Linked DNA regions of Diceros bicornis minor. The protein of the gene in region 1 purifies or fractionates together with the protein of each later gene. This does not show direct contact. Links are inferred from orthologs where the notes say so. Each region holds a gene or a part of one and is shown in the gene's direction. Other genes may lie near its edges.

The links.
Region 2: the proteins of POP4 (region 1) and RPP25 purify together in Homo sapiens (affinity purification with mass spectrometry; 3 studies listed by BioGRID and IntAct, counting the BioPlex papers as one, with this or other methods). This does not show direct contact. The link is inferred for Diceros bicornis minor from reciprocal best matches to the Homo sapiens genes POP4 and RPP25.
Region 3: the proteins of POP4 (region 1) and RPP40 purify together in Homo sapiens (affinity purification with mass spectrometry; 3 studies listed by BioGRID and IntAct, counting the BioPlex papers as one, with this or other methods). This does not show direct contact. The link is inferred for Diceros bicornis minor from reciprocal best matches to the Homo sapiens genes POP4 and RPP40.
Region 4: the proteins of POP4 (region 1) and RPP38 purify together in Homo sapiens (affinity purification with mass spectrometry; 4 studies listed by BioGRID and IntAct, counting the BioPlex papers as one, with this or other methods). This does not show direct contact. The link is inferred for Diceros bicornis minor from reciprocal best matches to the Homo sapiens genes POP4 and RPP38.

Annotation. Positions count from the first base shown.
Region 1 is NC_080773.1:3,832,912-3,840,347, forward strand, and holds the start of POP4 (ribonuclease P protein subunit p29), read left to right. Parts: upstream 1-4,369; 5' UTR 4,370-4,522; exon of another isoform or gene 4,523-4,898; 5' UTR 4,899-5,317; coding exon 5,318-5,324; intron 5,325-5,407; exon of another isoform or gene 5,408-6,866; intron 6,867-7,030; coding exon 7,031-7,083; intron 7,084-7,436. UniProt on the Homo sapiens protein: Component of ribonuclease P, a ribonucleoprotein complex that generates mature tRNA molecules by cleaving their 5'-ends.
Region 2 is NC_080744.1:67,855,507-67,862,226, reverse strand, and holds RPP25 (ribonuclease P protein subunit p25), read left to right. Parts: upstream 1-4,543; 5' UTR 4,544-4,726; coding exon 4,727-5,368; 3' UTR 5,369-6,043; downstream 6,044-6,720. UniProt on the Homo sapiens protein: Component of ribonuclease P, a ribonucleoprotein complex that generates mature tRNA molecules by cleaving their 5'-ends. Also a component of the MRP ribonuclease complex, which cleaves pre-rRNA sequences.
Region 3 is NC_080753.1:61,267,936-61,275,438, forward strand, and holds the start of RPP40 (ribonuclease P protein subunit p40), read left to right. Parts: upstream 1-4,413; 5' UTR 4,414-4,420; coding exon 4,421-4,543; intron 4,544-6,170; coding exon 6,171-6,315; intron 6,316-7,503. UniProt on the Homo sapiens protein: Component of ribonuclease P, a ribonucleoprotein complex that generates mature tRNA molecules by cleaving their 5'-ends. Also a component of the MRP ribonuclease complex, which cleaves pre-rRNA sequences.
Region 4 is NC_080775.1:15,572,531-15,580,627, forward strand, and holds the start of RPP38 (ribonuclease P protein subunit p38), read left to right. Parts: upstream 1-5,031; 5' UTR 5,032-5,134; intron 5,135-5,271; exon of another isoform or gene 5,272-5,573; intron 5,574-6,702; 5' UTR 6,703-6,759; intron 6,760-8,097. UniProt on the Homo sapiens protein: Component of ribonuclease P, a ribonucleoprotein complex that generates mature tRNA molecules by cleaving their 5'-ends. Also a component of the MRP ribonuclease complex, which cleaves pre-rRNA sequences.

The DNA of each region.
Region 1 (7,436 bases):
GACAAACAGAGAGCCGCTCCAAGCTCACAGAGGGCCGCTGCCCCCCACCCAGGCCGACTGCTCCGCAGACCTGGGCACGGACAAATCAGGGCTGGTCCTCCATCACCACAGGGACAGGAAGGGATGGAGCCTCACTGATGAGGACTGACGTGGCCACTGAGAAGACGGAGAACGATGCAAAGTCCAGCCTGGACCTGCAGCCATTCTCCAGCTGGCAACCTCCACGCCCCAGCTCTTCAGATGCCTGAGGCCCCTGTGGCTCTCAGGACCTGGGGCACACAGAACCTTTCCTGACTCCTCTAGCACCAGGTACAGGGGCTGCAGGGAGACCAGGAACAGTCCCCAGGGTGCCCTCCACTTGACAAGCAAGACACAGGGCCCCAGAGACGCCTCGGGTCTTGTGGGAGATAAATATTTGTCTATCAGATGACCAAAGAGGGTGTGTGGTCTCAGCGGTTAAGTTTGAACATGCAGGCATCAGCCATCATAGGGGATACTGGAAGTACTTTTCAGCTCTAGAATTTCCATGTCTCTGCTGAAATCCTTCATCATTTCACCCATTTTGTCCCTCTTTTTCTCTAAATTACTTGATGTATTTATAATAGTATTTTAAACGCCTTCTCTTCCAAGTCAAACATCTGGGTCATCTATGGCTCTGTTCCAGTGACCGTTCTTTTCTCTGGATTATGGGTCACAGTTCCTGCTTCTTTGCATGTCATATACACCATGTTTTAAGCTGGATGTTGTGTATTAACGAAGAGAAGAGACTGGGGAAGACTAAAGGGTATATCCATCTCCCAACAAGGGCACCCCTTTTTCTGTCAGGCAGCATGCTGAGGGCCTGACCTCTTCACTGAATCAGATTTCTCAAGTTTTGGCTCCCCTGTCTTCAAATATCTTGAAGGGGAGCCCCGGCCCCCACCTCCAGCAGGGCTTTGGGGTTCAAACCACAAACCAGGTCTCTGCTTTCCAGCCCTGTCCCAATTCCAGTTTGGGGTGATTCTACATCAGCTCCTTCTCCCTCCCACTTTCCCATATTTTGGACCAGAATGGGCTCACACATACCTAAACACACAGCTCTTAGGCCTGGAGCCAACGGCTGCTTCCGCGAAGTTGAATGCAGGCCCAAACAGGAGAGGGGAAGCATGAGCTGCCTGCACCCGTGCCCATGCAGCCTGCAGGGACTTCCCTGCAAACCCGGAGTGCCTCAGAAATTTCCCCATCCACCCAGTGAAGAAGTCTCTTAGGACCCCACAGTCTCCTGTGCCTTCAGACACTCTGTCATGGAAACCAAAACCAAGCTCTCTTCAATGGCTTCCGCTTAGAGGGGAACTTCTTCAAGCATCTGGAAGAATCTACTTTGGCTGTACTTTAGACGTCTGCCATCAAGGCAGCCTTGAAGAGTGACTTCTGGAGGCTGAAGTGTTACTGCACAAAATTGGGGTTCTCTGCCCGATGTGCATAAACCAATTAATTATGGCATTAGTCTTTGGGGGAGAAATCAGCTTTTATTCTGTGCGATCAATCTGCAGGGGGACAGGGGACATGTACCCTCAGATCTGTCTCCCCGATTCAGGACTTGGGGCAAAATTTAAGAGGTTAGGGAGAAAAGGCTGGCAGGCAGAAATGCTGGTGGGACAGGTTTTGATTGGTGGTGCTTCAAGCATTTATGGTAAGGTTTTAAACATTTATGACAGGGTGGGGAAGGAATTTTAACACCGGATCTCCTGAATGAGGGACCCCTCGCTTCTGATAAGAGTCCGACTTTCAAGTTCTGGTCGAGTCCCGGTCCTTGGGTTCCATGGGGAAGAGGATCTTTAGTTCCGAGGTCATTTCAGGTTACAATTCCCTTTTTCGCATGCTCTGGCTATGTGACTTTGCAGTTTTTCTGAAAGACAATTCTTTCCTTTTTTTGTGTGAGGAAGATCAGCCCTGAGCTAACATCTGCCAGTCCTCCTCTTTTTGCTGAGGAAGATCAGCCCTGTGCTAACATCCATGCCAATCCTCCTCTTTTTGCTGAGGAAGACTGGCCCTGAGCTAACATCCGTGCCCATCTTCCTCCACTTTATGTGGGATGCCGCCACAGCATGGCCTGACAAGCGGTGCATTGGTGTGCGCCCGGGATCCGAACCCGGGCCGCCAGCAGTGGAGTGCACGCACTTAACCGCTACGCCACAGGGCCGGCCCCTGAAAGACAATCCTTAATCACTCTGTTGATAAGAGATGGGGTGAGTCAAACCGGTCCTGGAGGGCCTGTGGTTACAAAGGGACTGAGAAACCTGGAGTTCAGAAACTGGTATACGGCCACACATGCCAAGAGTTATAGTCCCCGGTGTTTGGAATTCCAAATGGTGGGTCTTAAATTGACTTAGAGCACAGTGCTGCCTCTTGACCAAAAGGCAGTGACATGTTGTCCTGCTGTGAGCACAAGTCCTTTGATGCTTGTAGCCAGAGCACCCACTGACGGAGCAGGAGAGGGCTTGCCTGGCGGGAACAGCCAACATTAGCACTGGCACCTCACTGCTTGCCTCTTCACTTAGAGTGGGCAGTTTCCTGTGGCACTAGTAAGCCTGAGGAATGACTGCTGGGGCCACTGTGTCCAGGTCCCCCCACCACCACTCCCAGCTCCCCTTGTCAGTACACGTCTGGACCAGCGTACAGATCAAGGGCAAATCAAGGCCAGGGAAATTCATAATCTTGAGCCTCAGGAGCTGTCCCGGCTTTGTGAGGATGCAGACAATGATGGCCATCATCTCTCACACGGTACTGCCTGGGCCAGGCCCTGTTTTAACATGGGCATCGTCGCACTGCAAGCTCCAAATCCCCCTGGGAAGCAGGTACTGTTGTTAACCCCGTGTTCCAGATAAGGCTTTCCTGTTGTAGAAAAGCAGCACACGCCCCATCCCTCTCAAACACACCAGATTTAATCACTTAAAAGAAACAGAAAAAATTCTATATATATATATACATACATATATACACACAGTATGTGTTTGTGTGTATGTATATGTGTGTATATACATATATATGTATATATATGATATATAAAATAATATACTGACTTTTTTAACATGGGAAGATTACAACTTTCACTGAAAACACAGCCTTCCATGTTCTTATTGCAGGTATGCTGGTATTTCTTCAGGATCACCACCTTTTCTTATATTTACAGGAAATCTACTAGAAATAATGTTTTTCCTTAATCCAAAAGTGGAGGAAAAGGGGTGCAGAAAAAATACTTTTCCACTGTATTGTCAGAGGCTAGTAGATAAACGGTTTCTGTAGATTTAGTTGTGTTTATTTATAAAGAGGGTCCTAATTTTCATAGATATGCACTTATTTAATAGTTGAGGCTTAATCTTTTTGAGCTTATAGATGAAACTTCCCTTGAATGCTCCACCTGGCAGCCTGAATGTCTCAAAGCAGCAATCAAAAGAAACCTGTACAAACAGAGCAAAATGGTAACTGTGCTACCTAGGAGCAGACAAGTGCTCACTGTGGAACTCATTCCATTTTTCTGTACAGCTGAAGTTTTCCACAAGTTGTTGGGGGGTGAAGGGACTCATCTGCAACGACGCCATCCAACCGTGACTTCCCATGGAACTTTCACAAAGTCACTACGGGGAAAACACATACATATCCACGTGTCAAAGCTTGTCATTTACAGCTATAAAAAACAAAAATATTTTTAAGAAAGTCTTGCTTTCACTGAATAAAATTTAGAAAATAGACAAAGAAAAAAAACTCATCTTTCCAATCCTTTTTGTGTATCTATTTGGTTTTGTTAACATCTTGTAACCTTTAAAAAATTGTACGTAATTTGTTTAATGGCTACATGGTATTCCATTATGCAAGTTATATAAATGTACCATACTATAGTTCTCAAACCTGATTACTCAACAAAATTACCTGGGAACATTTTTTAAAAATACAGATTCTTGGTACTTACCTACTAAATAAGAATCTCCAGGGATGATGCCAAGGAATTTGAACTTTTGAAGTTTACCCTGTGATTGTAATGCATTTAATTAACCTAATTAATTAGCACATACTTCATTTATTTAATCCACCATTATCAAAGATGGAGTCGTTTCCAATTTTTTGCTATTATCAACAACAATCACAATAACACTGCTACCTACAAGGACTGGTATCTCTCTGCATACATAGACAATTATTATGAGGATAATAAAGTGGTTTATTTGCTTTTTAAAAAGATTTTTATAATCAGGGAACTATGAAGTAACCGCAGCTCTGGGAGTGCCCGCCCACCGCCCCACACACAATCAGGGAATTCCTGGGAAGACTGGCAGTCATCCGGGCCCCGCGGCTACTTGAGAAGAGGTCAATGGGAGTTAAAGGTCCTAACAACCCAAGAAAAGCTCTCAGACAGAGGTCTGCCTTCTCCCTTATCTCCAGAATCACGCAAGTCCTGCTCAGAAGGGCCCGAGTCCACCGCACTGAGTTTGGCTCCTCCTGTCTCCTGCCGCCTTGTTCAAGTTCACATTTAGCAGTTCACACGGTACGGACCTCCAGTCCCACGGACTCCTAACTATTCTCCAGCACCCGGGCCCTTCTGAGAGGTCTGCTCCCGGCCTTCCAGCCACTTCTCGGCCCCTTCCCCAAAGCAATGAGAACCAATCCCTGCCTTTTATCTTATTGACAGAAACTAACATTCTGGGTCTCAAGAAAGCTTTCAGAGACCATCAAGTCCAATCCCACTCAGAGTACATGCGAGAAGTGGGGCCCAGAGATGGGAAGGGCCTTAGAACTCCGACTCGGGATCCCACAGACCTCGCTCCCAGCACCGTCACCACCATCCCGGCCCCTTTCCGCCCTCCCCTGGTCCCCGACCTCCCTCGTGTCTCTCCAACTCGGCTCCCCTCGCTCTACTCCAGGCCTTCACGAGCATTCCAAAGGCCCTAACCCAACCCAGCCCTCGGCTTCCGGCCTTCCCCCGCCTACGAAACACGCAGGCTGAAGCAGCCGCACAGATCAGAGACACGACGAGAACCAGCCGTGCCCCTCCGGCCGGCGGAGTCCGCTCCGGGCGCATGCGCAGCCTGAGCCGGCGCGCGTCGGTGACGTCACGGGCGGCGCCATTTACGAGCCCCGAGCGCCTGGGAGCTCAGCTGCAGGTCGGAGCGCGTCGGTCTGTCGGCTGAGCGTACCGCGCGGCCTTGGGCGCCAGGAACCTCTCCACCACAGACTGGCGAGAGAGGCTCTGGTAGTCGAGGGTGCGGAAGAAAGCGGAGCGTGGCAGAGTGAGCGGCTCCTGAAGGAGACGTCATCAGAGCGCACCGGAAGCGGCCCGAGAATGACGAGTAAGCCGGGTTGAGGGCCACGAAATTGTGGAGGGGCGGGATGTAAAGGGTCGGGGACTCGGTGCTGGCGGGGGGAAAGGGTCTCTGCGGAGTCCGAACGGACTGCTGTGGGAGTTGTCCCTCTTTGCGTAAGTGAGACTGAGCCCAGAGTCCCGTTTGGCCTGGCGCAGTCTCTGAGCCGGGGATGGTTGTCTGGGCTCCATGGAGGCTTCTCTCGGGGGCTGCTCAGCGGTGTGTGGTGCTGGAGGAGGGCCCGAGGCCTGGGCCGAACCCTCCCTGGGTGCCGTGGTCGAGGCCCCGCTCCTCTCTCCACCTGGTTCCCCTTCTGTGAGGTGCTGATAGTGGGGCCTGCGCAGCCCGCTGTTCGTAAACGGCCCTTGTCTGGTGTGAAGCGCCGGGAGCCTGCTGGGGAATGACATCGCCAACCCAAGGCTTTGGGGGAAGAGATGTGCGAGGAGGGGAGCGAGCACCCGGGGCAGTTACAGGCAGAGGAGTGCAGACATCGTTAACATGGGGCTTTGGATCAGGATTTTGAGTTCCACGTCTGCTGCTCCCTCCTATGTGATCAGCTGTTCCAGCGTATCTGAACTTTAATTTTCTCATGTGTGTTATAGGAATAATCACTACTTTGAAAGATTGTTCAGAAAGTATAATGAGATGAAATATGTGTAGCTTTTAATCAGGTGCATGGTAAAGAATGAGTGCTCAATAACCATTAGATGTGTATTGTTACAGAAAAGGCTGGAAGTCTGCCTAATACTAGGCAGCTGTGGCAGGTGAAGCAAAGTCATTCCTGGGGTTCCAGGCCCTGCAAGTTGCTCTCTGCGAACAGGTTTTCATCCCCATCTTCCGTTTGAGGGAGAACCAGACTCTGTGTTTAAAATTTGTGACCACTTTGGTTTGCTTGTTCAGATGTACTCAAGGAAGCACAAGGCAACTGGGATGGAATTGATAAAGTATAGTATGAACCAAATTTCTAGTCTTTTGGCCCCTAAATGCCTTTGTCTCATTCTTATTCTATTCACACTCGTGCTTTGTCCCCAATGCCACGGTTTTCTTCTTCAGACAAATTAAATAAGAAACAGGAGTGTGGAAGTTTTTAAGGTTGAAACCACATTGATCAATATGTATTTTGAGTTTGAAGAATGACATACTGTATTTTATCAGTTTAGGACACCATCAGTTGTATGATACATCCCAATCTCATAGATATTACAGTGTGAAAGTTCTTTTTTAGACATCCTATAGTCAACAAAATGTAATATTTCTAACCATCTGCATCCCGGAAAGCTGTATCACATAACTTTTAAATGAGTTACATCTTTAGACTTACAGAGCAACTGCTCAAGTTCCTCACCTGTGGTTATTGAAACCAGTGCAGCTCCACATGTGGTCCATGACCTGCAGTAGCATCTGAGAGCTTGTTAGAAACGCAGGATCTGGGAGTGGGCCCGACTGCATTCTAATGAGATCCCAGAGTCGTACACACATGGACGTTTGAGAAGCACTGTTTTAAAGCACACCCTTGGAACTTCTAGGAGGGTAAGATGAGAAGCTTCTAAGAAACCTTTGACGCTGTGCTCTTTGTACCACCCCCTCATCTCCTGTCTCTGAATAAGGATAATTATCTTCATAGTTAGAAGAGTCTTGGGCCTTATAGCCATACCCGACAGGACCTGATCATTTTGTGTTTTTTAATCCCCCAGGTGTGATCTACCATGCCTTTTCTCAGAAAGAGGCACAAGAGTTGGATGTTCAGGTACAGTGCTTGGCAGGAGGTGTGGGAGCAACAGAGGTGGTGATGGAGATGGCTCGATGGCTTTGAAGCCCTTAGTGCTGCTTCTGATGTCCTTTGCCATGTCTGGCATCTGATCGTTCCTGTAGATGTGCTGGGCCGGGTCAGGCCCGTCGTTCTCATGGCCTGTTCCGTGTGCTGGCCTCCTTTCCCCTTGTGCCATGTCAGGTTCCGTTAACTGGGGCTTCTTGATCTGTGTCATCTCCCACTGCATAGGGGACACCAGCCTGTGTCCCGATACCTGCCTTGGTAAGCACCGTCACTGTGCCCCCTTCACTCTTGAAGGGGGCAGGCAGATCACATCTCATAAGTGGAAT
Region 2 (6,720 bases), on another chromosome or scaffold:
TGAGCAAGCTTGGGAGCTGGTCCTCCGGACCCAGCCAACATCCTGATTGCAGCCTCAGGAAAGGCCTCGAGCTAGAACCACCCCTGTAAGCTGCTCTTGGATCTCTAGCCCTCAGAAACGGTGTGAGATAATGAATGTTTTTGTTTTAAGCTGCTGCGTTTTGGGCTAATTTTTTATGCAGCAATCGATAACTAATACATCTTCCTCACTGTAGGGAAGAACCCCCTCTCTACCCCAAACCAACTCCTACCTTTACTGGGCAGCTCAAATCATTTAAAAGTTTCTTTTTCTCTTATACTCAGGTGAGGTAGTAAAATGAGTCAGAGCACCTGCATTCAAATATCTGTGGTTGCTGCTTTCTAGCTGTGGTACACTGGGCAGGTTACTTAACCGCTCTGTGCCCCAGTTTCCATATCTGTCAAACAATGATGGAAAGGAAAATTGTGAAGATTAAATCAGAGAATAGATCTGTGAGAGTACCTGGCCCTCTGCTGGGCACTGGTTGGTGCCCGATAAATCTGAGCTCCCTCTGGCCCCCTCTGACTTTCCGGCCTGACTCTTTTGCATGCTCCCAAGCCCCTCCCAGAGAGGCTGGGACAGGACCTGGGTCTTTAGGAGCTCCCTAAAGCCCCAGGAGCTGGAGGAGGAGGAGATCTGCCCTGTGCTAGGATTTTTCTCCCAGTCTTGGGGTGAGAGACCTGTCCACGAGACGCGAGAGGCGGGATGTACTTCTGGAAGGGTCCATTTGCAGAGCAGGAGCTGATGCTGCACCAGGTGAGGCTGGGGCTCCAGCCTAGCCACTCCACCACCTCCTCTGACAGTGAAGAGAGTCTAATTTGCCCCTCGCTAGTCCCTAACATATTAGGAAAACTGCTATTTCCAAGGCTTTGCCTATTTCCTTTCCTTTTCATCAGCTTTTTTTGTGTGTGTGTGAGGAAGATCAGCCCTGAGCTAACATCCATGCCAATCCTCCTCTTTTTTGCTGAGGAAGACCCCCTCTGAGCTAACATCTATTGCCAATCCTCCTCTTTTGTTTTCCCCCAAAGCCCCAGTAGATAGTTGTATGTCATAGCTGCACATCCTTCTAGTTGCTGTATGTGGGACGCGGCCTCAGCATGGCCGGAGAAGCGGTGCGTCGGGGTGCGCCTGGGATCCGAACCCAGGCTGCCAGTAGTGGAGCGCGCGCATAAGCCACGGGGGCGGGGCTCATCAGCTTTCTTTCCCCCTCACCTCCCTTTATTTTATATTATATTGTAGGGCTGGCTCCGTGGCTTGGCGGTTAAGTGCGCGCGCTCCGCTGCTGGTGGCCCAGGTTGGGATCCCCGGCAAGCGCCCACGCACCGCTTCTCTGGCCTCATAGGCCGTGTCCCACATGCAGCGGCTGGAGGGATGTGCAGCTGTGACATACAGCTATCTACTGGGGCTTTGGGGGAAAATAAATAAATAAATAAATTATATATTATATTTTAAATAAATTTTTAAAATGTATTTTAATCACAAATAATATATGAAAAATAATATTAGCTAACATTTCCTGAGAACTTACCAGCCGAGGTTCTAAGACTTATAAATGTCTCACAACCACTTTATGAGGTAGGTTCTGATGTTAGCCCCATCTTACAGCTGAGAAAACCAAGGCAGGGGGTTTAAGTAAATTGCCCAAGGTCACATAGAGGCAAAAAGAAGCTAATGAAGCTCGGGCTTCAACGTCAGTACCTCACGTACACAGGCTGCTCCACGACTCTGTGCTTAATTTTGGATTCATATTTAGTAGTTCTTTTCTTCAAGAGGCCCAAAAACACTGGATGCGGCCTCAGAGGTAACAGAGGCAGTGTGCTGTTTTCTTGCAGCTATGAAAAAAGACCTTTACCTCTACTAACACGCACACACGGAAATAGACACACACCCCTTTAAAAAAATACCTGTGGTCCTACTGTGTGTATAGCTGGCATCCGGCTCTTTTAACAGAAAATCTTGACTGCCTTTCCACGTTTCTAACTGTCGGGGGGTGTTCACCACAAACGCTGAAATGTATTTACCCACCTTCGCACAGTTGAGCCCTCTACTCCCCTCCCAACCGCGTCCACCCCTTCCCCGGGGTTCCTCCCCGCCTCCCCGAGTATTCTCCCTTCTCCCCGCTCATCCAGGTTTCCTGTCTCACACCGCCCCCAGCCCCCCGTATCCTCACTATCTCTCCGTCGCCCCCATTCCTAGCTGCCTCCAGCATTTCTCCCTTCTCCCTGCCCCGCCCCTCGTTTCTACTTCACCGCCCACCCATTTTTCCCTGGCTACTGGCCCCTCTCCTGCCTCCGCTTTCTCTCCGCCAACCTCATTACCCTTATTCACAGTTTTCCGCCCCCCTCCCCCCGCCAGCCCTGCCACTCGGCGGCCCGGCAGGGGCGCACAGCCAGCCGGCTAGAACGCGCGCTGACAATATAATGAATGGCTTCAGCGGTAATTAGCGACCCGGCGGCTAATCACGATGTACATTTACATTTTAAGTGCTGCAGAGGGAGCGAGGAAGGGGAGGGGACCGGCGGGGGGGCGGTGCGGGCCTTTTCCACGCTCTCCCTTCACTGACTGGGGAGCAAAGTGAATCCAAGTCTTCCACCGCTGGCGGCAGTTGAAGGGGGGTTGGGGAGCGGTGCCTTGAGGACCAACCCAGGTGGACGCTGAACAACCCCACCCTCAGCCTACGCTAACCTGGAGCTCACAGCCCTTTGCTCCAAACTGCAGACCGCTGCCTATATCCTCTCCAAGTGAACGTTCAGCCTAGGCTTGCATCTCCCCGTGGACGGAGAGCTCGCTTATTCCCTAACCAGCCCGTTCTAACGTGCATTCCGGCCATTCGAGCACTTTTTCTCAGGCCTCGCCGAAACTGCCGTCTTTTACGTCCCGTAACTGCCCGGGTCTTACAGAGCCTGAGGTTCCGCGCGCCCCGCAACGCGCTGCAGACAGTCTGTGTGTCTTCTCGAGGCTGCTGTGCCTCCAGCTCCTGTGGCTGTTCTTCGTGGGGCCCGCGGGAGCTGGGGCGGAGCCGAAGTCCAGGTTTGGCGCGGAACGCGACCCTGAGGGCCCCTGACCCCAGCGTGCAAGAGATCGGAGAGGGGGCGCAAAGGTCCACCTGCTCCAGCCACTCCCAAGGGGCAGTAATGGGGTCAGCCCGGGGTTCTGAACAGCAAGGCCCGAAAACTAGAAGATAAAAGATGCTGAGGAGGCAAGGAGAGCCTGAAGATGGAGAGGGGGACCCCAGCAGCCCGGTCTCAAGACTGGGGCCCAGCTCCCCCAGGCACTGTTATGCCCAAGGCAGCTCTCCGCACGCCTCCCGGCTACGCCGCGTGGTAGTCAGCCCCACCCGGATCAGGTGTGCCCCTCTCTCTCAGTTCTGACTGTGCGTGTGCGTGAGGCGGGTGGAAGAATGAAGGGCGATGCCCCAGGGCAGTTCTAGGGAGGAGCCAGCTCCTTTTCAAACCCGCTGCCTCTCATCAGCAGTCCTTCAATCCCAACGTCACCTCTCTCTTCACTGTTCATCTCTCCCGGCAGGAGATTCGGGGCCACTCTCCCTGTCGAGTGGAGTTCCCAGAGAGGGGCACCCAGTAGCTTCATAACGCCCCCAAAGCTTCAACTTCCCACCTTCCTCCATTCTCCTCAAAACCTGCCTTCACCAATCTTCTTTCTGAAAAAGGACCCCACTGGGTCTCAGGAGGCCTAGGCTGACTGACAACGAATTCCACCTGGGAAGAAGGGATTCACGTTAGCAGGGAAGCATGCTTAGCTTACCCTAAAGCATGCAGCTCTAATAGTGTGCTTTCAGGCACGAGTGGAGGGAGCTTAACTCCCCTTGAGAAGGGGTCTCCTTGTTCTCTTCCCATTCACCTCAGGGAACAGCCTGACCCAGAGCCTCACTTCCCACACGCCAGGGGTGTACGTGGGTCCGGGAGCCTCCAGCTCCGGTCAGGCGCGCGGAGGCTGAAACCTCGGTCTTCGGCTGCCCCGAGAAGACAACACCGCGAATAGTCGTCCCAGGGAAGGCGCGGAGCGGAACCAGAGCCAGCGCCTCCCGCACTCTGCTGACCGTGCACAGGCTGTCCTTGAGGCAAGAATACCGGCTCGGGAGCGGAAGGGACGGAGTAGGGGGGGTTCCCCTGAGGAGTAGGGGAAAGAGGCCCCAGCAGGCTGCTTAGAAATCTCTCCTGGGGAGGGGACAAGGAGTAGCCTTCAATTTGAACGCGGAAGGGCTTGGGGACCCGACTTGTGGCGGCATTTGCACCGCAAACGCAGTTTTTATTTAGGTTGCCCGTTTATGAGGGTTGACTCGGAGACGACTGATGGCCATTATAGGGGAACTTCGCCTGACAACCCACCCTCGGACGCTGCCATTGCGCCCCAGCGTGCGCGCCGCTCCCACGCCCTTTTAGCTGAGGACCTGACTGGATCCGAGAGGCTGGTGAGGCTGGGACCGGGGCGGGCCGGGCCGAGTTAGGGGCGGGGCCTGGCAGTAGGGGCGGGGGCTCCCAGGCTCCCAGGCGGGGCCACCGCTAAAGGCGCGGAGCACCGGACGCCGAGAGCGCGGAGTAGAGCAGCGCCGACTGGAGAGAAGTGGGAGAGAAGAATCGCGCCGTCCCAGCCCGCCCGCCAGCGTCCACGCCTCTCCTGCACCCTTACCTCTGCCGGCCCTTGCCGGACTCGACTGGCGGCCATGCAGCCCCGGGGCTGAGGCGGCCCCATGGCGAAACCCGCGTCCCCGCGGTCCCGGCAACGACGGCGCATGGAGAACTTCCGTAAGGTGCGCTCCGAGGAGGCGCCGGTGGGGGACGGGGCCGAAGGGGGCGGCCTGAGCTCCGGCCCTTTCGCGGACCTGGCACCGGGCGCCGTGCACATGCGGGTCAAAGAGGGCAGCAAGATCCGGAACCTGCTGGCCTTCGCCACCGCCAGCATGGCGCAGCCAGCCACGCGCGCCATCGTCTTCAGCGGCTGCGGTCGGGCCACCACCAAGACCGTCACGTGCGCCGAGATCCTCAAGCGCCGCCTGGCGGGCCTGCACCAGGTCACGCGGCTGCGCTACCGGAGCGTGCGCGAGGTGTGGCAGAGCCTCCCGCCCGGGCCCACGCCGGATCAGAAGCCTGGCGACCCGGCTACCAGTCTCAGTGTACTTAAGAACGTGCCCAGCCTCGCCATCCTACTTTCCAAGGATGCACTGGATCCGCGCCAACCCGGCTACCAGCCCCCGAACCCCCATCCTGGCCCCTCATCCCAGCCGTCGGTGCCGACGACCAAGAGGAGCCTTGGGGAACCCGCAGCTGGAGAAGGCTCCGCGAAGCGGTCACAACCTGAGCCAGGTGCTGCGGAAGAGGACCGGACGGCCTGAGAACTCCCGGCTCTGGGCCACCTAGATGGACTGTATCTTACCCCCAGCGCCTCGACTTTGAGACGCACCTCCAGCCTTTCACGCCTTAGTACGCTAGAGCCCACAACTGAACACAGCTCCTCAGACTGGCAGCGTGGACCCCAAGGCGACAAGGGAGGGACCCCAGGGAAGCTTCGTGGGGTGGTTACTCCTCCACCTGTGTATTGCCTGAAGACGCAGAACTCCACCTTCAGCTTTTCTGAGCCATACTGGGACCTTCTTCAGGGAAGGAATGGTGGGCAGGGGGACTCGAGCCTTGCTCAGGGACCCCCAGCATTCAGGTGGGGGGCTCCGAGTGTGGAAGCCGAGGAGAGCTCTTGAATCACCCCCACCGTTGGCAGCAGAGGGCAAGGGGTGAGAAACTGATTGCTTGAGGGCAGGGGAGTCTGAGTTGTGGGGGGTCCTATCCTGCCCATCACGGCAGGACACAGTTTCTTTTCTAGTTTTCCTTCCCCTGCTTTTAAGGATCATCCTAGGATCATGGTGGCAGGAGGCATCTCCATGGGCTCTAGCTCTTTCAACGTCCTCCCTTCCCCAAGCTGGCCCAGAGGGAGAGACCCAGGACAAGTCTCCATGCCTCCTCCCCTGAGCCCCACAGCTAGAGTCTTGCTTCCAATAAAACAAACAGAAAAATGGCTCTGTCCCCATGTTTTTTCCTAACCACTTGCTTGTGCAGACACTGCTCTGGCCTGCCCCCTTGTGTCTCAGTCCCCTCCAGCCTGGAATCCTTAGCCTTTGGAGTATTCAGGGTCAGGCACAGAGACTGGACAGCTTCAAATTGTTGCAAGGGACACATTACCTGGTCCCTGTCTTCTCCCTCTCTCCCAGCGCTCCCTGGCTGGCTCTAGCCTCAGGTGCTTGTCACCGGAAGGGAGCCTTTGTCCCCTTGTGCATTACTACTAAGGGAAAGGGAGCAGCAAATTGCTTTTCTCGGAGGAGAAGGAAGGCCAGCATTGATAAACTCCTGGGGGTCACTGCCAAGGGTGGCAGACCCTGCTGGGGTCCCTAAACTTGCAGCCTCTTGCCAATAGACATCCTTATCCAGAAGGCTGGCACAAAGCCCTCTGTACCCATGGGTAGGATCTCCCCTTCATTGCTCTTTCTCTGAGAAAGGACAGCACACCCTTGGGAGAGGGGGAGGAGAGAGACTGAGCACAAATCCACTGCTGGAAATTACTATTCAGCAGAGAAGCTGGGACTTGGGCCGTGAATCACTGCAGGATCCCTGATAAGCTGTGGCCTGCAGCTCTGCACAGCTGTCTGTTGAGAGATAACAGCCTCATAAGCCTCTCTGCCCAACTCCAAGTCAACTG
Region 3 (7,503 bases), on another chromosome or scaffold:
CAGAGAGGATTCTTGTGTGATGAGGAATATCAAGTGCTCACAGTGGTGCCTGACTCATCGCAGGCGTTCAATTACACATGTAACGTTACACACAACAGTACTATACAATTACTAGTAATCAATACATATTACGGCGATTTCTCCTTTCTCTGTGAATGTATCTTATTTCCTCAACTGCATTGTGGATTAATAGTTTTCAAACTATAGTAAAATCCGAGTTACACAGAAATGCTTCATTCTACATAATTGAAGTTTCTGGATAGCTAGGATTTAAATTCTTTATGTGCCAATTTACTTCTAAACATATGTTAAGTTAAGCAAACTAAAAGAATGAGACTTATAAAAAATTTTACCCCTTCCCAAATTCTCTTCCAAACTTGTTTATGAACATACATGACAAGAGCTTTAATCAGACTGTGTGACTGTTCTGTTTTTCCAGCCTCATTGAGATATAATTGACATATAATATTGTGTAGTGTTCTGCTTTTAAAATACTCCCCAATTTGTACACCTCCACGTATCGACACAGCCCACACAGTTGCTACTTTTAACATGTTTGTGTGCTTCACTGATTTCCCACCAGTCAGAGGGAGGAAATGAGTAGTCTGGCTCTGAGCCCGCACCAGGAGAACTTCTGGGATTCCAGTCCTCTCATGGTGTGGATCCTGTATTCTTCTTGGGGCCCCCAGTGTTTTCCACTGCAGCTGCAGCATCCAGTTTCCAGTCTGCCTGCAACTGGAGGGCAGTTTTGACCTTGTTCGCCAACACCGGCCCGTCTGTGGTGCCTCGGGGAGCCCTGTGCTGGAAAGGACTGCGAAGTCAAGGTCAGGCTCGGCAGGAGGGAGGTTTCCGATTTATTACCAGTGTCTGCACTGCCTTCACTGCTGCTCCTAATTATAATGAGACGTTGTTAAATGGCTTCAGAGCAGTGAAAGGGTCCCGATGAACATCACCTGATCACTCCAGAGCTTCTGCGTTGGAGAGCTCTCTCCTTTCCCCAACACGGCATACAGCTAGATACGACATTGCAAGCACATATATTTTACAGGCACTGTGACTGTGTTTTAGATTTAGACCTGACTCAAGCATTAATTTGTTTAAAAGAATATTTTAACATCTTCAAGGAGTTGAGCATCTTTACATTCTGTTTCTGTCATTTTTAATTTTATTCCATTGTAGCCCCAAAACATCATGTGTAAAATTTTTGTCCTTTTAGATTTACTAAGTATATTTTTGTATTTTAAGAATACAAAGGTACATTTACTTCTTTGCAAGTCTGTTGGCTTGTTTTCTAAAAAAATTCATTATTCTTTGGGGTATATATATATACATATATATATATAAATCAATTATGTTTTGTTTCCTGTGCTTTTTTTCTTTTTTAGCCATTTCTGACCTTTCATTCTCTCACAGACTTTTTTCTCTATGCTCTATGATATAGAGTCTATGATCTAATATCTGTTTGTCAGTCAAGATGACTTTCAGCTCTAGAAACCAAAAAATCTGACACACAATAGTCTGAACAAGCAAGGGCAGATGAGGCTGCAGAGGGAGGCAGGGGCTAGGTTACCTAAGCTTTTACTTGACAGCAAGGAGAAGCAGCAGCAGGGTAGAAACTGGGGAGGGTGGCATATATCACGTTTGTCATGTTTTTAAGAGATCACTGCAGATGCTGAGTGCGGAATGGACCGTAGAAGGCCAGACAGGCAGCGGGGAGACGGTCAGGAGGCTGTTTTTGGCAGTGCACCAGAAAGAGAGGAAGGTGGCTGAACTGGCTGTAGAATGGAGACAGTGAGAAGAGGCTGCAACCAGGCAGAGCCAACAAGCCACAGATTTGCATGTGGGGTGAGAAGGGAGCAAGAGTCAAGCATGACTCCCTGGTGCTCCCCCAGGGAAGAGGACCAGTCCTGGGGGTGACCAACAGGTAGACGGGACTGAAAACTGGGAGACTGTGTGGGATCACCTTGAGATCAGAGGGCAGACAGGAAGGAAAAGGGGCTGAAGATTACCAGAGGTCTGGAGGAGGAGGCCCAGGAGGAGGAAGGCAGAGTGAGGTGGGAGGGAACCCGGGAGAGACAGGGTCTCGAAAATCCGGAGGAAAGCGTTTCAAGAGGAGCGTTTTGAAACGTACCCAGGAATTTGTTCTAATCAGGTATGGTATGACACACAGACAGGGAAACGACTGTCATAAAGGAAGAAGTTTTTACTCACAGTTCCCTAGAATCAGGAGGCACGGCAGGCCACACAGAACCACTTGGGGAAGCACTGGGGTCCGTGAGGAGGCAGAGGGCGTGAGGGAAAGCATCCGACAGAGCCTTTACTGTGGGAAGGAATGGGCGAGGCAGGGAAAACAGACTAAGCAGGTTCAGGGTTGGCTAGTTTGAATAATTTCAGCGTGCTCTGGAGTGTAGGGACTGTCCCCAGTTGTCTGGTACCTGGCCCTGGGGTGATCAGGGCAAGGGGTAGTAGCCTGGAGGGTAACAGCCCACAGAAGAGGTGTGGTGGGGTGTGGATCGGTTAGTCTGCAAGTGAAAGGTATACTTACAGCACTAGTTGTTCGCTATCTCTAGGAATGGGCTAACTCTGTAAGGGGCAGCCAGCAAGGCTGGTCAGCAAGGCTCCAAATGCCAGAGCATCAGAAAATAAGAATAGAAAAAATAAGAAAATACAGTTAATACAAGGAAGAAGTGGTCAACTGTATCATCTTGTCACATGCAGCTAAAAGTCTGAGTGAGATAAGAACAAAAACTTGGCCTTGAATCTGGCAAAATGGAACTCACCAGTGACCTTGATAAAAGCCATTTCAGTGAAGTAGGGTCTAGGAAAGCTAGAACGAACGGGTTCAGGAGAGAACGTGAGGAGAGCTCTAATGGAGCAGAGAAACAGAATGGTGAATGCAGAGGCATCTGGGGTCAGAGGAGGGTGTCTGTTTAATGCACAACATTAGGCCATGTTTGTCTGCTGACAGAAATGACCCAGCAGCGGGGAGAAATGAATGACGTTGGCAAGGGATCATTACAGACACAGAACTCCAGAGCTCGGAAGAGGCAGGCTGAAAGGCCTCCTCAGCCTCAAATCTACTTGAAGTTACAGCTTTAATCTTTAAAATAAATGAGATTTTTGCCTTCTATTTCATAATACAGGCTCACTCACAGGACACATCCTTAAGTAATGCCCTGGAAGAACACCTTTGAGTTTTGAATACTCAAACTGCATTGCAGCTATTTATCTCTCAACACATTTTTCAGCTGTTTATACATATAAAATTTCTATTAAATCTTCAAAACTTAATAAAACATTTTAAACAAAATGGCTTGCTAGAAAAGCTTCATGTTGCTTCCAAATACAATTGGTAGACCATCAGAATCACCCTAGTCACTTCGAAAAGCTTTGGAGTATCAACAAAGGAGATGTATCTATCTGACGTTGCTTGTCTGAGAGAGGCCACCACTACTTAATTGTGAGGTGACCAAGAAGCTACGTATTAAAAAGCATTTTACATCCTGAGATGATATTTGTAGCTTATATCTAGGTGCCATACTGTGATTTAGGAAACAGGTAGAGGTTTTCGACTGACTTGCTAGTCCCTATAATTTTTCCTGCTTAAAGAAAAGGAAATAGGTTTTCCTTAGAGCATTCTTGGAGACAGGCTGACATTTCAGGCACAGGTGATTGACATTAACAGCAGACCACTCTCCAGCCTGCCTTAGTTTTAAATTTTGAACTACTTACCTTGTAAACTACTTAACTTCTATTCTTCAAAACCTTACAGTAAAATTAATGCTCCAGAAGGTTGTACCACAAATATTCTGCTGTTTTTCATCCTCTCTGCACAGAACTGGGGCTGGGCATACTCCAGTTTGAGAATCCTGTAATAATGTAGTAGCCAGAGTTGATAAGAAAAATTAAATGGAAAAATGAATTATCACCATAACACCCAGTAGCAACAAATTATTAAAAGCAGTTCAAAAGGGATCTTAAAAGTGATTCCGAAGGAGTCTGAAGGAGTCCTATTATAGGCCAAAAAGCAGAAACTGTTATTACCGTCCTACAGAAACTTCTTTTACATTTTAGGAAGGACCAAAGGGGGCCCAGAGGGAGGATTAATGGCAAGAGACAGCAGCTGGGACGGATGGAGGGCATGGCGAGGAAAGTGGCTTCGAACAGGCAAGTTCCAGGTCCCCAAGTACCGAATATTTAGGCAGTGAACTTACACGCACGGTTTCACGTACCCAACAGTGAGCTTTGGCACGGGTCCCTATGAAGCCTAGCCCCACCCCCAAAAAGGGGGCGGGCGGTGGGGGGGCTCAACAAGCGAAGCCTGCCCGCCCTGCGCATGCCCGCGGAGTGGGACGTGGGGGAGGGCCAGGAAAAGGGGTGGGGCACGCCGAGGTTGGGGCGGGCGTTCGCGGGGAAAAGCATGGCCACGCTGCGCAGGCTGCGAGAGGTGCCACGGCACCTGCTGGTCTGCGAGAAATCCAACTTCGGCCACGATAAGTCGCGCCATCGGCACGTTGTGGAGACACACTATCACAATTACAGGGTGAGTGCAGCCGCCCTGGGTCCGCCGGACCGTGCTCCATCCCCGCTGGCGGGAGAGGCTTGGGGACAGCCGTGCTCTGCTCCCCGTGGTCCTCCCGCCCTCGGCGTGCGAAGCGGGGGGGTGGGGTGGGGGGTGGGGGTCCTCGCCGGGCATGCTGGGAGCCGTATGCTCTTGGCCGCTTCGGGGCAGTGGCTCGCAGAGCTGCAGGACTACGACTCCCAGGATGCGCCGGGCGCAGGGCGGTGTCCAGCCGTCGGAGGGAGGGGCAGGGCGATGTGCGCCTGGCTGGGTCCGCAGTGCCTCTGGCTACTTATTGTGGTGCCGCCCCGCCCCAGGTGGTGGCGGCCGGGGGTGGGACGGGAAGGCAAGGCTGGGTCTAGGGAGTTAGGCGAGTGCGCGGGCCGCCCCGCCCCGATTTGAGGGCAGACTCTCGCCCCTTCCCCGCCGCTGGATTCCGTGTTCCACCCGCAGGCCTGTAGATCTTTCCGGAGCATCGTGCCGAGTTCCGGTCCAGCAAGCTACTTGCTTTTCTAAACTGCTTTTGGGAACTGGTTTGATATCTGAGAAAATTCCCACCTTGGCTGCCGCCTTTTGCGTTCTCCAGCCAAAGTGCAGCATTTCGGCAGCTTTTAGCGCAGATTCGCCGAGGTGGCCCCACTCGCAAGCACCACTTTAGAGCAACTTTGGCTTTTGCTTCGTGAAATGTCATCCTCGCGGGGTGCCTTTTTCCCGGGTGCGGAAGTCAAGGCATGCATGAGGTTAATTATTGGTTTATCCAGGATGTGCCGACTTGAGGAGAACGGCCGGTTTTCCCAGTCAGGCGTCTACTGGGCCGGTTTCACCAACCCATTTAAGTGGCGAGGCCTCCGAAAAAGCAACCTTGAGATGATAATGGCTTAAGCCTTTTACACTCTCCGTTGATGAGCCTAATCTCAACTGAGGCCTAACGGGCCAGTTTCTCAGACACTGTAGAGACCCTGATCCTCAGGAGCAGGCTGGTGTTCGGGCTTTGGGAGGGCGACGTTCAAGGTGTGGAGCACTGGGGCGACATTTGAAACCTGTCGGGTGGACCTCTCTGCTTTGGGTGGAAAGCTCGTCACAGACAGCCCTCGGGGAAGTGCAGCTTGTCTCTTCCAGCGTGCTCTGTAGAGTTTTTCTGTCTGGAAAATAGGAACATCCAGCAGCACTTCTGCTTCCATGGAACCTCTTGCTAATTGATGTCCCTAAATTCCTTATGCCCTAAGGGACAGTTCCTTTGATTCCAGCCTCGTACCAGGATAAACAAACCTGGAGGTATTCAGTTATACTGTATTGCCCTAAAAATTAATTGTAGTAGTGAAAGGAACAGGACATAAAACATACTGCTCGCTTGAGAAAGATGAAATGCAAGCCAGAGCTTTCTATTGAACTTGTTTTGCTCATTCACCTTTCCTGTACTGTGCTTTTGAATATACAAATGAAAAACTTAAATTGTCAAATTTCTCTTTTCCTGAGATTTGGTAAATTTAAGAGTTTTGTTGAAACCTGTGGAGGAATAGTTAGCAGCCTTCATGATGTTATCTCATCCCTCAAAACTTGGGAGTTGATCTACATGAAAATAAGACGTTTATATTACACATTCCAATAGGTTTCGTTTCTGATTCCTGAATGTGGGATCCTAGCAAAAGAGCTGAAAAACCTTGTTATGGAAACGGGACCATATTACTTTGTGAAGAATTTACCTCTTCATGAGTTCATTACTCACGGATTCATCAATACTTTTGTAAAGAAAGGTAAGAAAAACCGTGTAGTGTCTGTGACCGTGCAAGGGGAGGAGGTATAGGTAGATCACATCGCAATACTAGGGTTCTTCTCCTGTTTTAAATAGGGCCTGTGGAGATGGGCTGTGTGGTCAGGTGCGCACCTCACTCCCCCACCCCTCAGTATTCTCATCCCATTCTTTCATGTGCTCTCATCAGGTGGTGGTTTCTGGTTATACTTGCCCGCAAACATTGCATGGGGATGTTGTAACATGGGAGCATCTCTCATCTGGATTCATGGAGAGGAAAGCCTTTTGATCTGTGTGTTCAGACGCACTGCTGTTGGGTGTGTGGCTGCAAGCACCCTTGTGCTCCTGGCAGTCTGCACAACAGCTGTCTCAAAAGGTTGCTCTCTTGGTGCAGCCATAGCAGCAGTTCACAGAACTGGGTGTTCATTGTGGTTCCGTGTCTTTCCTTAGAGTTTGTGACTCTCACCTTCCTCTGCTTACCCTATTCCCAGTCATATCCAGTGGGTTGATTGGTTTGTCCCAGTTTTTTCCTAGGAGCCATTTGTTTGAAACTGTATTTCACAGCGTCTCTATGGATTCCACCCTCACTGTATAAGTCACTGTGCAATAGCCACTTACTTATCTTGAGGCCCCGTGTTCTTCCTCTCCAGTGGAGCTGTGAAGAATCCTAGTTACTTGTGGCTCCTCTTGTTTTGGTGCGACTGGGGCTGCTGATGAAGCTGGGTGACTTGCCTTCGGTCTCATCGACATTATTCCTTTCATCTACTTTGAAGTTTGGCACTACTTCATTAGTTGTGTGGACGCTGGCTGTAGCAGGCACTTTTACATATCTTACCCAATTTAACCCTTGCAACAACTCTATGAAATAGGCCTATGATCCCCATTTTACAGGTGAGGAAATTGAGGCTGGGAGAGATTGAGTAGCTGTCTTAACTTCACACAAATTCCTGGCACATTGTGAATCTTAACCTGGAACTCTGCCTCTCGGTGTGTACACTTCTACTTTGTGCCTCTGCCAGCATCCCCAAAGGTCCCTGCTCCATCCCGAGTCCATTTTCTGCTTGATGGTAGTCGGCTTGCACAAATAGACCCTGGGCAGGGGATTGAACCAGCTGCGCTTGGCCCTCCCTGTCCTCCAGCTTAGCCTGGGCAGCCTGTAGGTTTATTGAGTGAGCTGGAGCAGTGACCTGAA
Region 4 (8,097 bases), on another chromosome or scaffold:
CACTTTTAACTCTACAAATCAGTGGCATTAAGTACATTCACAATGCCATGTAACCACCACCACGATTTCCGAAATTGTTTTGTTTTCCCAAACAAAGGCTATACCCATTAAACAATGACTTCCCATCCCCTCCTCCCCCAGCTCTGCTAACCTCTACTCTACTTTCCGTCTCTATGAATTGGCCTGTTCAAGTCACCTCATGGAAATGTGACTATCATACAGTATTTGTCCTTTTGTGACTGGCTCATTTCACTGAGCATAATCTTTTTCAAGGTCCATCCATGTTGTAGCATGTAGCAGTACTTCATTCCTTTTTATGGCTTAATGATATTCCATTGCATGTATATATCACACTTTATCCATTCATCCATTGATGGACATTTGAATTGTTTCCACCTTTTGGCTATTATGGACAATGCTGCTATCAACACTGGCATACAAGCATTAGTTGCGTCCCTGTTTTCAACTCTTTTGAGGAAACACCTAGGAATGGAATTGCTGGGCCATATTGTAATTCTATGTTTAATTTTTTTTTGAGGAATTGGCAAAGTGTTTCCCACAGCAGTTGTACCAATTTACCTTCCCACCAGTAATGTAGGAGGGTTCCAATTTCTCAATATGCCCACCAACACTTATTCTTTCTGTTTTTTAATAATAGCCATCCTTGTGGGTGTGAAGTGGTATTGCAAATCGGATCTATGATTTGCAAACATTTTCTCCCCTTCTGTGGGTTTTGTTTTTACTCTCTTATAGCGTCCTTTGATGCACCAAAGGCTTAATTTTGATGAAGATCCATTTATCAATTCTTTGTTTTGTTGCTTATGCTTTTGGCATCATATCCGAGAAATCATCGCCACATTCAGTGTCATGAAGATTTTCCCCTAAGTTTTCTTTTGAGAGTTTTATAGTTTTAGCTCTTAAGTTTAGAACTTTGATCCATTTTGAGTTCCTTTTTGTATAAGTGTCCAACTTCATTCTTTTGCATGTGGATATCCAGTTTTCCCAGCACCATTTGTTGAAAAGGCAGTCCTTTCCCCATTCAATGGTCTTGGCCCTCTTTTCTTTTCTTTCTTTCTTTCTTTTTTTTTTGCAGCAGAAGATTCACCCTGAACTAACATCTGTTGCGAATATTCCTCTATTTTGGGGGTGAGCCGCCACCACAGCATGGCTGCTGCCAGAGGAGTGGTGTAGGTTGGTGCCCAGGAACTGATCCCAGCCCCACCCAGTGGAGCACGCTGAACTTAACCACTAAGCCACTGGGGCTGGCCCTTGGCCCCTTTTTCAAAAATTAATTGACCATATATGTGAGGCCTCTCTATTCTATTTCATTGGTCTATATGTCTGTCTTTATGTCAGCTCTGTAACATTTCACTTACTGTAGGTTTATAGTATGTTTTTAAAATCAGGAAGTGTGAGTCTTCCAAATTTGTCTTTCCTTTTCAAGATTATTTTAGCTATTTGGGGTCCCTTGAGATCCCATAATAATTTTCATGCTGGTTTTTCTATTCCAGCAAAAGATACCCATTACAATTTTGACAGGAATTGCATTCGATCTTTAGATTGCTTTGGGTAGTATTGGCAAGATGTCCAGATGAGCTCTTAACTCTGGCTGCACATCCAATCATCTGGAAGGAAAAACACAAACACAAACCAGATGCCTGATTCCTGCCACCAGAGATTCTGATTTCAAGGTTGTGGGGTAGGGAGCAAACAGCGGGAATGATGCAGCCAGGGTCGAGATCTAGTCTGAAATGATAACTTGGCTCTCTTTCTCAGAAGGGCCTCTGAATAATATGTGTGGTGGTCCATGATTTCACTGCTCTCCTTCCCACAAGTGTGCACACTCTCCTCCAGGAACACCAAACTACTTTAAATTCCCTGTTCTCCAGGTTTATAGATAGCTGCTGCGCTCCACTGTCCAGAATGCCCTTCTCCTACCTTATTAACCAGCCAATTCCTCTTTCAAGACTCAGCTTAGATGGCACCTCCTCCAGAAGTTTTTTAGGACAAGAGGCATCTTTAGTCTGGTCTACAAGCCTGTAGCCTTCTCTCCTCTCCTCTCCTCCCATTCTCCCCTTCCTTCAAAGGGTTCCATCTACACGGGCCTCCTTGCTGTTCTAACAGGCTAAGCACACTCCTGCCCTGAGGGCCCTTACACTCTTCCCTGGGTGTCTGCACGGCTCAGTCCCTCACCTCTTCCAGGTCTTTGCTCACACATCACCTCTCAGTGAGGCCTTTCGTCACGCATCCCAGCACCCCCTTGCTCTCTTCTCTGCTTTACTTTTGTCCATAGCACTTCTCATGATCTGACATACTACATAGTTTACTTTTTTGTTTATTGTCTGTCTCCTCCATTAGAACTTTTTTCATTCACTGCTTTATCCTCAACACTTAGAATTCAGTAAACACTGTTCTCTGTTGAAAAAAGGAAGGAAGCAAGGAAAGAAGGAAGGAAGGAAGGATGGAAAAAAGGGAGGGACGGAGGGAAGAAAGAAAAACAGTTGCTTCATTCTTACATATCTAGCATCTAGCACATAAAAGATACTCAATAAATATTGAACTAACAAAGTATAATGTTATTGATTTTTTTTTACCTAATACATATACACAGACATATGTACACATTTCTATCTTAAAAGTACTTCTCAACCACTGGCTCTCAAATTGCTTCAGAAATTATTCTGTGATTAATTCATATAAATATCTATACTTTAAGTAATTCTAAAATTATAGGGCCTGTTTATATATACCTCTGGTATATTTTGAACAGTTACTTGCAGCCTATTTTATATCACATAGATACTTTATTTTCAAAATCGGTGCTGGCAGTTTAGGACTTAAGGAAAATCCAAAGTGTAGCATCACATCACATTAGGCCTCTTCTCTGAAAAAAAAAAAAAAAAACTCTAAAAAAGCGTCTACTAAAAAAAATCTCAGACTAGCTTTGTTACCATCTGATTTAAGGTCTTTCAAATTTCTCTTTTTTAATAGGACAGCTCCGCCAAGGCCCCCTGACAACCTTTCACATCACCTAGCCACGTAGGAAAGGCTTGACTGCAATCTGACCTGAATCTTGGTGGAATGCCCTGTAATTCCTCCTGGAACAAGGCCTTCCTATCCGGTGGGAGACTCCCACCTCGGTGTTTCTCCTCCATTCCCATAGTTTCAGTTGAGCACACTGGAAGGCTGAGAGGTGGTGGTGGTGATGATGCTGTGTTAGGCTGAGTTTTTTCAGGATAAAATAACTAACAGCTGTCATTACAAAGTAAAACTGATCATTCAGTATAGGATATGAAATATATAAGAGTTAAAGTGACAATTTGAAAACTATGCTTGAAAAACATGGAAAAAAATCTTACATGGAATGAAAATCAGAACACAAAATTGTATCTACATTATTATTTTAACAATGTCAATGTACGCACAAATGTGAAACAAATTAGAAGGGAACACTGAGAGGAAATGTGTTTTGGGGTAATCGAGTCATGGAAAATTTTTTTCTTTTGACTTTTTTGTTGTAATATTTTTGTGACACAAATGGGAGAGAAGTTACCTTTGAAAGGTAGTTTTACATTTTAGCAAAATTCTTGTGAAAATTATATTGCTAGTCATAAAATAGAACACAAGCACTAAAATCATAGAGGCTACAGTTAATTTTTATTAACTTAATTCTTAATTCAGGGTGTCACTGGATTCATCATAGTTATAGTTACCAAGCACTTTCTATGTGCTAGGGACTGTGCTAAGCATCTTACAGATTATCTCTTCTAATCCTCACAACAGGCCCTATTTTTATCACCTCCTAGAGAGGGTTAATTAGCTTGGTTTAGGGTCACATGCCTAGTTACTGATGAAGTTAGGGTTTCAGCGTAGGCAGCCTGGCTCCTGAGCCATGGAATGTAATGGCAGGTAATCTTCATAGAGCAAATGTAAATTGAGATGATGCTATAAATCTAACTATACAAACTGGAACCATAAATCTAAACCCTTAGGGGAACAAAAACTTATACACATTTCCTTCTCATTACTCTAGCATTTCAATTAGACATGTGTGTCTCTATTTGTCTCCCAGCTTAAAGGACTAATTTAGAATTACATGTTTGCAGTTCATCACAATGAACCAATGGGATTCATTTTATGAAATAAAGTCTGTTGTTACACTCAAACTCATTGTAACTTTGTTATTTTTAATCTTTCTGTGATTTAAAAAACCACACTGAACTTTCCCCTGGGTAACCTGCAATCATCTTGGACAAAAAGCAACACGGTTTTTTGTTTTGTTGACTTTATGGCCAGTTAGGATGTAGGTGTTGAAAGCTGAAAATATAGAAACTAGACCAAAAAAGGGGAAACAAAGCAAGCAACGCAGTGATTGAGAAAGGGAGGAAGATGTTTGGAGAAGGAAGAGAGCCTAAGTTAGACTGGAAAAGAAAACGAAAGGTGTAAATTAGGTCAGAAGCAACCTACTGTCCTCTAAGTTCGTGCCCAGGGCAAACAGATTCAGATGGCTGAACTTGAAAATGGTCTTCAGCTGATTTACAGTGGTCCGCGACTTCCCAGGGCCTCCATCCGTAACCATAAGTCTCCAGTGGTTGGAGCAGACATTTGGAGCTTTCCGAACCGCTGTCGCAAAACTGAAAGCAGGCTTTACTCTCCTTCTCTTTCAGGGAGCTAAAGAGTGCCTACATTGTTGCCTGTAAGCACGTTTTTCCCCCCTCAATCCACCCCTTATCTCTCATTTATCTTGATTCTCCTGTTGCTGGGGATTCGGCAGGGATTCGATGGAAATGGGGGCACTGGGCCTGAGGCAAGCCAAATACAGAAAAGCGAGGAGAGACAGAGGGCTAAGAGTGCCACGCGCAGAAAGGCAGAAAGGAGAGGTTGCGAGCTGTGACAAACGGCCTTCAGGACATTAAGGGCGGTAGACTGGCCCCCAGACCACGCAGCGGAGACGCGGGCAGCAGGTTACCGTGGCAACCGTCAGGTCTCGCGAGACAGACATTGCGCCTGCGCACTGCCGCTGTAGAGAACTTGAGGGAGCCTCCAGCCGCGCTGCCGAACTCAGGGTTTCTGGGATCCGGTCTCGCGCCGTCGCTTCCGGGCCGCGCGACGCCGTGGCCTGACTTTCTGCATCGTGAGTGAGCTAACGCCGAAGGATGAAATGTGAAGTTCTCTGAGCATTTGGAAGGCGGGGTGGGGGTGGGTGGGACGGCGGAGCGAGGGCTCTGCGCACGCGCGTCGCGGCGCACGTGGAGCCGGAGCTCCCGCGGTGGTGAGTGGGAGCCGGGCCCCGGGGCCAGGAGGGGCCGCCCAGGTGGGATCGGCCCCAGGATTCGGCGGAGTGAGAACACCCAGGGTCTCCAGGACGTCCCCTGGACCCCCCTGCATCCCGGCCTGCCCGTCCCCGCCCGGACGCGCGTATTTTCCTGCCTCCGGGCGTCGGCGCCCGCTCCGCTCGCTGCCTGCAGTTGAGCGTCTGTTGGGTGCGAGAAATACTAGGATAAAGCCTCATCCTGGCCCTTCGTTACTCCAGAACCTAGAGGTGGAGACGGACGACAGCATAACACACCTGCGTATGCTAAATAGTAAATACGGAGGCACCAGATAGAGGGGCGGCGTCCCTAGGGAGGGGTTAACTCAGGGTCGGGAGTGCAGCCACTGGGAACTGGGGCTGCCCTCCACTCCGCTACCGGATCCGCAAACCAGGAGGCCTCCCTGAGTCCTTCCTCTGCCTTACTCGTAGTCGATCGCTCAAGTCAGGTAGATTTTCTCTTTGAACTATTTCAACTAGTATATCTTTCTGTCCATCCCCTCTGCGGTGGCTCTACCGCAAGCCACGGTCATGTCTTACCAGGACTATTCCCGGAGCCTCTTTGCTGCTTTTAGTCTTGGCACAGGACCCTCCCAGGCCCGAATTCACAAAGACCTTTCTGGAATGTCTTTCTAATTCTGCCGCTCTGCTTTAAACGTTACAGTCGCTTCCCACTATAAGGCGTACAAGGACCTTCACTGTCTCTTCTTTACCTGCCTTTCCTGTTATCTCACCATTCTCTAGCATCTCTGTCCAGGCGACACTGAACTTATTTCATTATCTTTAATGCTGTTCTCTGGGATACTCTTTCTGCTTCGTTCTCCCTTTGGTAGCATTCTTCAGATGTAGGTTAAAAGTCACTGCCTCCAGAGACCCTTCCTGATCCCCTCAACTAAGTCAGGCCTCTGGTATATGTTCCCTTAGGATCCTGTAGTTTCTTGACCTTAATGTGCGCCACGTCTCGTTGTATTATTATTTGCTGATAAGACTTCCTCATAGATTCTAAGCTCAGGGAGGCGACTGTTTTTACTTTAATACTTTATGGCTTGGTGCATTGTGGATAATCCAGAAATACTTGTGGAAGTAAGGCAGTGATGGGGGTGAGGGTGGGAGTGGTATTCTGGGCAGAGGGAATATGTGTATAAAGACGTGGAGGTGAGAAACTGGTGGCCTCCTTAAATAGTATGTGGTTCAGTGGGGGGTGTAACCAGCAGGGTGAGGCAGCTAAGGGGAGAGGCTGGTGGGGCGATGGGGGCCAGGATGTGGAGAGCCATGTATGTCACCTTAAAGAGTTACTGTTACTTCTCCTTGTCAGTCACTCCTTTGTTTTTGAATAATATGACATAAGATTCTTCTTTTCCAAACTCCTTGGCTCTCCTCTCCCCCTCCAGATTCTGAAGACAGGAGGAGTTAAAGCCTATCTTGCTCTCTCTCCAGAGCACGTAACTGTAAGTATTTATGTAAGGATTCTGTGTTGTTTCAATGCTCAGACACATTAACTGACTTGGATTTTGGCAAGAGCTCTGTTAGATCATATTCGTCTTGCTCGTCTTCCTGATCACCGTAAACCCGATGCCAGCCTCTGCCAGTCACCACTGGATTTGGATGAGCTCCCTCCTGATTCCCTGAGCTTGAGGGGAGCATGGAGATGACGGGGGATGGGAGGGCTGCGCGGTGGGGCTGATGTGACGGAAGCGGGTTAGGCAGCAGACACCGAGTTTCTAGAAGGGGCAGTGCTGACACGAACAAGGTCTGACCTCTCACCCCAAGGAACTGAATTTTGATTTTCTGTTAGAAGGTGACTGAGGAGGAACACTGGAGGCCTCTACTGGTCTGTCCAGTGTGGAAAGGCCGTCCATCCTACATCAGCAGTTCCTAATTCTGGTTCTGTATCAGACTCACCTGGGCAGCTTTTTAAAGTACAGATGCCCTGGTCCTATTCCCCAGGATCCCAATTTAGTAGATCTGGGGTAAGGACCAACCATCTGTATGTTTTAAAACGCCACAGGTTATCTTTGAGGTGCAGCCACGATGGAAAGCACGTAAAATTTGGATTTGGAAAACTAGCTGTGACTTTGGGCAAGATATTTAACCTGAGACTGTTTTGTCCTCCACACATGGGACAGTTATACAGGAATTCTGTGAGAATCAAACAATACATGGAGAAGGTGCCTTCTAAATTCCGACATACTTCACAGAGACACTTGTTCCTGAACATCAGTAGCCAGCCTAATAAGCAGAAGTTTAATTGGAGAGGACTTAAATCTTAATCCTGCCTGGGGCACTTCAGGGTGGGCAGGCCTTGGCAGGACAAATGACCTGGAATGAGGGAGGATCTGGAATGAGAAAGTCTGGCTACCTGAAAATAGGGACAGTTCCAAGCCGCAGACTGCTCCAGGGCTGGCTTGTTTCACTTCCTTTAGTTTTGCCGCATGGGTCCCTGTGGTTCTTAGCCAAGCCCCAGGCAGAAGGTGAGGAAGAAAATCAAGGGAAGAGAGATGCACTTGTCTCTGGGAGGGAGAAACACGATATGCTTCCTAGACCAGTGGTTCATAACATTTTCGCAGCAAGGATCCTTCTTGTTATTTTTTCTTAAGGGATTAATATCTTTAAATTTCATTACCAAATTTCCCTAGTTTTCATCAAATTGCCAGCTGGAGGAGCAGGCAGCTTGGAATAACCATAGGAAGGGGGAATGTACTGCTGCATGTGTATTAAATGTTTTAGGAAGGATGTACAAGAAGCTTAGGGTCTAGGGAGGGAGAGAGACTTACAGAAGGGCATAG